Linked DNA regions of Caenorhabditis elegans. The protein of the gene in region 2 purifies or fractionates together with the protein of the main gene of each other region. This does not show direct contact. Each region holds a gene or a part of one and is shown on either strand. Other genes may lie near its edges.

Evidence for each region.
Region 1: the proteins of nob-1 (region 2) and gmn-1 purify together in Caenorhabditis elegans (affinity purification with western blotting, with the first as the bait; one study listed by BioGRID). This does not show direct contact.

Annotation. Positions count from the first base shown.
Region 1 is NC_003281.10:12,223,341-12,227,265, forward strand, and holds gmn-1 (Geminin homolog), read right to left. Parts: upstream 1,992-3,925; coding exon 1,746-1,991; intron 1,590-1,745; coding exon 1,293-1,589; 3' UTR 548-1,292; downstream 1-547. Other genes in the region: gphr-1 (Golgi pH regulator), read left to right, coding at 291-494; Y75B8A.18 (Clathrin light chain), read right to left, coding at 2,374-2,523, 2,580-2,729, 2,779-2,853; Y75B8A.19 (RING-type E3 ubiquitin transferase), read left to right, coding at 3,328-3,373. UniProt on the Caenorhabditis elegans protein: Inhibits DNA replication by binding to the DNA replication licensing factor cdt-1. Its interaction with cdt-1 prevents the cdt-1 loading of the mini-chromosome maintenance (MCM) complex onto DNA and therefore DNA replication licencing.
Region 2 is NC_003281.10:12,082,098-12,086,022, reverse strand, and holds the start of nob-1 (Homeobox protein nob-1), read left to right. Parts: upstream 1-1,706; 5' UTR 1,707-1,760; coding exon 1,761-1,948; intron 1,949-1,992; coding exon 1,993-2,201; intron 2,202-3,925. UniProt on the Caenorhabditis elegans protein: Transcription factor, involved in posterior embryonic patterning, morphogenetic movements of the posterior hypodermis, and cell fate specification. Binds to the 5'-TAGT-3' motif in regulatory elements of genes, including Meis protein psa-3 and microRNA mir-57.

The DNA.
Region 1 (3,925 bases), 140 kb from region 2:
AAAAATTAAGGAAACACGCACGAAATAAATTTTAAAAAACGGAAAGCTCCCGTAAATCGTCACGAAGCAAGCGCGCTCCAATGAGAATATCTGTGAGCGCGCATTTGAAAAAAATGATTCGGGCGCGATTTCAAGGTGAAATATAAAATCAGGGAAATTTGTTCGAATTTTTTCACATAGATATTCGGAATCAGGGGAAAATTTGGAGTCATTCAAGAGCATTTTAACAGTTTTTTCACCAATTTTTCAATTAAATTTTCGATTTTTCAATAAAAAATTGAATTTTTCAGGGAATGTACTTCGTTTCGAGCGTCCTATTAATGCGTATGAACGTGCCCGAGGAGTATCGAACGATTCTGACGAGAATTCTCGGCGATTTGAAATTCAACTTCTACCATCGCTGGTTCGACGTGATTTTCCTAATATCCGCCGTCTCTTCTATTGTTTTCTTGACACTTATTCACAAATCCGGTTCTTCAATGTTTAGGGCATAATTATTTGTTTTTGTGGTTTTGTTGCTGGTATTTAAATTATTTTAAACTTCGGGTCGCATAGAATTTGAAATTCATTTGATAAAAAAACATTTTAAAATTGAATTGCGTTGAAATTTGGTAAAACTCGTAAAAGGAATGAAGTAAATACACAAGATATATATAAACACGAGGTAGCACGCTCCCCTCGAAGCCGAATAATTATTCGAGCGCGCTTGCTACGCTTCGCGTTTCAGCGTCGGCTGAGTTTTGCTTTTCCACTGAAAATAGCAGATTTATCGAATTTTTAGCTTAAAATTTTTTTTCGGCTTTTTACGAACCAACCTTTTGTTAAACGGTGAAAATCAAATTTAAAATGACTAAAATGAACTTTTTTCGTCCACTGGTTGTGAAATGGTTTGAATTTGAAGACATCAGCGGGATTTTTCGTATTTTCTGAATATTTTTCGATTAGAATTCGGTTTTAAACTATTTTTGACTCTAACGTTAGGTTACAAGTGCATTAAAACCGATTTTTAATTGAAAAATATTTAGAAAATAAGAAAAATCCCGTTGATGTCGTCAAATTCAAACCATTTTACAGCCAGTGAACGAAAAAAGTTCATTTTAGTCATTTTAAATTCGATTTTCACTGTTTAACAAAAGGTTGGTTCGTAAAAAGCCGAAAAAAAATTTTAAGCTAAAAATTCGATAAATCTGCTATTTTCAATGAAAAGGCAAAACACCGCGGGCACAGAAACGCGAATCGTAGCAAGCGCGCTCTAATAATTATTCGGCTTTGAGGAGAGCGTGGATAGTAATTTAAAGTTGCGCGGTGCCAATCTCCTCATCCGTCTGTTGCTCCTCGTCAATGTCGGCGAGCACTTCGAGAAGAATCTCCGTGTCATCGTCGATTTTTCGCATTTTTTCGTCGAGATCTCCGAGTTCGGCGACGAGACGCTGATTTCTGTCCATTTCATCGTCCAGATCCATTTGCAGACGGTCAGCCATCACGCGAAGATAGTTTACAGTTGGTTTTTCAGATGTTAGATCGGCTTCTGTGATTTTTGGTTGAACGTGTGGGACGTTGATGATCGTTTGCGTGGACACTGTGCCGTACTGCAATTTTTTTGATTTTTTTAAAATAAAATTTCAAAGTTTTAATAAATATCTATTATACCAGCTGCTTTCTCGTGTTCTGATGAATTAGCGATAATATACAAAGCATTGTAGATATATTTATGCCGATAAATCTTTTTAATCATCATTTCATACCTCAAACATCTGCGTCTCCACGTTTTTTGCCTCTTGATCATCATCACAGAACACGTCGAATGGAGATAAAACCGGTGTGATTGTGGTGGCAGAAGCCAGCGGGGACGGTGTGATTGGCTGATATTTCTTGAGTTGGGCGGTGAGCTTCAGCGGTTCTGGAATTTGCTTGGTGCCGGTGGCCTTCTCGGAGCCAAATGGACTGTTGCGTGCCGAGTTGTTGAGCTGTTGAAGGCCGATTCTGCTCATCTGAAATTTTTTTTGTTGAAAATTACACAAAAATAAGCAGAAAAAATTGAAATTGCGGCGAAAAATGGTGAAAATTTGAGTTCAAAATTCAAAAAAATAGATTTACGCGGGCCCCTAGGCCCGTAGGGTCTCGCCACGAAGCACGAGAAATTAAATTTCGAACCCTGCGCCTTTAAATTTACCGTACCCCAAAAATCGATTTTTCGGTGCAATTTGGAGAAATTAAATGAAAAAATACAAAAAAAAGAAGAAATAACCAGCTCTGATGATAAAAACAGAGAAATTAAATGAAAAAAAGACATCGACAAGGAGCAAAAATGCATTTTATACAGAAAAATAAGTATTTTTATAGCAAAATTAGAAGAATCCGGATTAATCCGAATTATTTACAGGTGCTCGTGTCGGGTTCTTCTTCGGAATCGCCGTTTTCACTTGATTTTTTCAATTTTTCGTTTCCCAAATCGAAGAGTCGCGTGTATTCAGTCTGTTTCGCGTCGAGCATCTCCGATTTTCGACTTTTCTCCACTTCCATCTGCAAAATCAATCGATAACTGTATATTAATATATCGCGTTGGAAAAAAATAAAACCTTCTCATTCAACGCTTTAATTCGATCCACTTCATTCTGTCGATTTGCAACAATTGACTCCCAATACGACATTTCTGGATTTTCCGTGTTTTTTCGATATTTTGTAATCGATTCCTCTGCTGTCTGTGTTGTCATATTTTCTACAGCAATCTAAAATAAATATTTTTCAATTTTTTTTTTTTTTTTGAAAAAAACTTACCTCTTCAGTCTGACATCCGACTTCTGGGGATAAATTGTTGGTTGTTGGCTCCCCGAGCACTACAAAATCACTCATCTCGAGAAAAATCGATAAAAACTGGCTAGAAATTGGTGAAAATGGTGTTGAGAGACAGGTGTTAGATTCGAAACACCCGCCATTGGTGAAGTGCGGTGGAGCGCGAGTGCGCCGCGTGACGTCACGGCTCCGTTGAAATGCAATTACATGCAATATTATAGAGATTTTCGAATAATATAAGAAATTATTGTTAGTTTCTGAATGAAATCTGACCAATAAATGATTAATTACAACATTTTTACAATATATCGTATATTTTGTATTTTAAATTGCTCTTTAAAAAATCGATCGATACACCATAACTTTATTTTACTAGAATAGTATATAAAATTCACTTTTTTTCCATTTTAATGCCAACTTCCTCCCCCAACCAACCCCAAAATCGTTAAAAAAATCGTATTTTTCATTCACAAATGTAGTTAATTTTAAGATTTACAGAACTAATATTCTATGAGCGGAACAGGATTGTTCAAAATGGTGTTGCAACACCAATTTGACGGCCTACTCGAAGTGATGCCTGGTTTGTAATTTTTTTTTCTTAAGAAATTTGAAAAATATCTCGATTTTCCAAAAATTTTCTCTTTTTTACACAAAATTTGTCGAAAAAGATTGAAAGTAATACAATTTCGTGATTTTTGCGCCAAAACTACGGTGCCCGGTCTCGACACGACAATTTTTAGTTAAATTGAACAAGGTGTGCGCCTTTAAGGAGTACTGTAGTTTTAAACTTTCGTTGCTGCGGGATTTTCGATTTTTTTCAATTTCAAGTAAATTTAAATTAAAAATTTTTTATTTAAACAAACTTTAAAAAAAATCGGATTTCTGGCTTCCCTCCATAAATTGAAATGGAAGAGTTTTTTGCCGAACTAGGCCAGGCCATATCTGGGGTAGATTTACGGCGCGTTGCGTGTCGCATCGCGGCTCGATTATAGTCCGTGAGGAGTACACGACACTTTTCCACGCGAAAAATTCAATGAGGAAGGCCTGAACCCCGTATTAAATTACAGTAACCTTTAAAGGCGCATACCTTTTCCATAAAACAAAAATTTGTCGTGGCGAGACCTGGTACAGT
Region 2 (3,925 bases):
CCAGAAATAAGTTTCTAGAATTTCAAAGGGCCTAAGCTCAAGCCTAAGTCTAAGCCTAAGTCTCACGATAGTTTTAGGGTCTCAAATTTAAATAAAAACCTGTATCTAAAAAATCAAAACTGTTCTAAAAAAGCACCCCCTGCTCTACTTTGACAGCCTAAAACTCGGTTCGCTTTGGTTTTATCAAACAATTGCAAACGGACAAAATAAGTGCAAAGTGTTTCCCTATATTTTGGTTATTGCAAATTTTTTGGTAAAACTGAAGACAGCCGAGGTATAAGCCGCCACGTGGTGTCAGGCTGTCCCATTACGGTTTGATCTACAAAAAATGCGGTAATTTTTTTCTCAAAAAATGTGACGTCAGCACGTTCTTAACCATGCAAAATCAATTGAGAACTCTGCCGCATTTTTTGGTAGATCAGCGTAGATCAATCCAAAATGAGACACTCTGGCACCACGTGTGCGGGAAGCTTAAATACTCAAGCTTCAGGGGGTTTTTTAAATTTCAAATCTAAATCCTCTTGACAAGAAAAATAGAATGACCAGAAACCGAAGCGAGAAAAAAGAAAAAAAAGTGGCGACCTCTCTTTCTCTCTTCCTGTCCATTGACTAAAAGGCAAATCGGATCGGAAGGTAATCCAGTCGTAAAATTGGTGGAAGGTTTCCTATACTAAAATTATATCATAGAATACGGAGTGCAGGAGGTCGGGTTTTTTTTTCAAATGAATTGATATAATAAAATTGAAAAAAAAACGCTCAAATTTTGTATCATATATATGGGAATAAAAAGTTGATATTTGTCAAAATCATGGAATTTGCTTTTCCCTTGCTTTTTGCACTCAACTTGTCTCTCCTATTCATTCTCTGTTCCCCGCCCGCCCCGCTCCTCGCCGCCCAATTCGTCAGAGGGGTACGGTAGACAAGTGGGTGGAGCGTGCGTGTTATGTAGTGTCCTCCTTTCTGCTCCTCGGCCTCATCACCTTTCACGGCCCCCCGCCCCTTATTCTCTTTATAGTCTCTTTGGTGTTTTCCAACACAAGGGGGAAAGAGGAAACACCTTTTTAATGCGTTTATAAAACTTTTTTAGTGCTCTCTTAATCTTTATTACTTGTCTCGCATGCATGTTTCAACATTTATGTTATTTATGTGCCCCCCCAGCTTTTATTTTATTACCCTCAAAAGGTTTATGAGGTTTAAAATTATTTTATTGGTGCTTAAGGTTTTGATTGCCGCGTTTGTCGCCGATAAATAATAATTACTGTTATAAGCTTATTTACTAATTAATTAATTTTCCGCGTCAAAATCCTAAATATATCGTAGCTAAAGCTTTATATCTAGTTAGTATGGCCCCCCATCAATCGACTTTGTCGTCTTATATTTCAGCGGTTTCATAAGATTTTTGATACCTTCAAAAACCAGAGCATAACTATAGATTTGAAAAAGATATTGTCGTTCGAGTTTTTGACATATGATCAAAAAGAACCGAGATATAAGCGTTCAAAGTCGAGTGAGGGGGGCCGTACTAATAGGAAATATACGGTAAATGACTACTGTAGCTCTTACAAGCCGTGCTAAATTCATTTCAAAAATCGAGCCCGTAAATCGACACAAGTGCTACAGTAGTGTTCAAATATAAGCTTTTTAAATTCTCGTTTTTCTTTTCCTTACTTTTTCAAGCTCAATCTCGCAAAGTGCTCAACTTTCAGGTTCAAAAACAGATCTCCAAACCCAAATAACTCCCCAAGCTGCTCATATATGGAATGATTTCGGTGATGCAACAAATGATTAATAACGACTCTCCAGAAGACTCTAAAGAATCTATCACCTCTGTCCAACAAACTCCATTCTTCTGGCCAAGTGCTGCTGCTGCCATACCGTCGATACAAGGAGAAAGCCGTTCGGAAAGAGAATCTGAAACTGGGTCGAGTCCACAGCTAGCGCCGTCTAGGTTAGTGTGAAGTTGATTTGGCAAATGACATCTATCATTTTCAGCACAGGAATGGTTATGCCTGGAACAGCAGGGATGTATGGGTTCGGACCAAGTCGAATGCCAACTGCCAACGAGTTTGGAATGATGATGAACCCGGTCTACACGGATTTCTATCAAAATCCGCTGGCCTCAACTGGTTGGTACTCATACGGACAACCGTATCAATTCACAGCTAACTACTCCATTCCAAGTCTCGATGGAAATTTAAGTGGTTAGTTCCAACATCTCACTTCTATTATGTCATTGTGCTCTTCCATCTGCCCGCCCACCTCCGCATTCCTCGCTATCACTAGCTTTGATCTTACCGCCGCGAGTTGCAAGGGTAGGAGAACACGGTTTTCTGCTCCGTAACTCGGAACTTTCTAAAAGATCATAAGTCAATTCGCAGCCTATTTGGATCTCATTCCTTTCCTTTTCCGCATAACAATCATAAAATTATTAATTACCGTTGAGACCTCCCCCACCCATAAATTTCGCCTCGCCCTTGCCCAATTAGTAATCGATATCAAATCACACACGCGCCTTCAATTCCTACCGTACCACTTTATCTTCCGATCATCTCTTTTTTTGTTCGTCATTCTTCCTTATATAGAATCTTCTTCATTTTTTTGCCCCCATACAGTAATCGGAGAGTGCACTCTCCTCGCGGCGCCAGCGGCGACCCTTTCAAGTTGTATATGTGTGTGTGTGTGTATCGACGACGTGTATAAACACGCACTGGCGACACTCTTTTTTTTTTGGAGAAAAGGCAAAAAAGGAGAGGAGAAGACTATATCGATAACAGACACTTTACATCAGTTTTATGGTACGGTAGAGAAGGGGCAAAGTGTCAGAAGCTGTGGTTCTAATTATACCAATATCGATTTTTTGTAAGGTATGCCGTATTTTAATGTCTTATGTAAAACGTAGCTTTTAGGATTTAGGTTTTTTTCCTGAACTCATTTAAGTTTATATATTAGCTATTTTCGCTTTTACGGTGATTTGCTTGAATTGCTCAAACAAGTATAGGTAACTCGAATATGATAACTGCTAGCAAAAAATTTCCAACTAACAAAATGTTGCTGTTGATTTTTTCCACATCCTTGATATTGCCATAATTACATAACTTTGTTTACAGCAACTGACATCCGGCGGGACTGTTTTTTCTTTAACTAGAATAGAATTACTAAGTACCCCATGACTTTTGAACTAGGTGTGTATAGCAGTTTATACTACCGTATATTTCCTATTAGTATGACCCCCCCCCCTATCAATTGACTTTGTCGGCTTATATTTCAGCGGTTTCAGAAGATTTTTGGTACCTTTAAAAACCAGAGCATAACAATAGATTTGAAAAAGATTTTGTCGTTTGAATTTTTGAAATATGATCAATCAAAGAGAACCGAGATATAAACGGTCAAAGTCGAGTGAGGGGGGCGCCATACTAAAAGGGAATATACGGTGCACTTTCAGATTTTTTTTAATGCTGGAAGTTGTGAATCACCATTCTCAAATAAAAAAGATCAAAAACCAGTGTAATAGAATCTCAAATCTCAAACCTCCCAGCAACAAATCAACAGTCTATAAAATAACTCAACTTGGCGCCTTATGGTACTTTTCGGGGGGGCGCTATACATGTCCCTATCACTCATTCACAAATTGCCTTTTCGCCCAAAATATTTCGTTTTTCTCCCCGTCTCTCTCGCTTGCTGTGTGTTATCTCCATTTTCGATTTTACGACTCCGTGTGGCTGCTTGGCTTCGTCCCGCTCCCCGTATTTGGAGAGGCAGAGAGACTCTCTTTTTTGGCGTCACGACGACTGCTGCGCAAATTTTCGGATTAAAAACAGCGAGTGGAGGGGGGGGGCAGCCCCCATTTCAATTAGGGGAAGGACAAATTGAGATACGGTAGTTAGGGATGGGCGAAGATGAGGGAGAAAGAGCTGGATGGGGATAC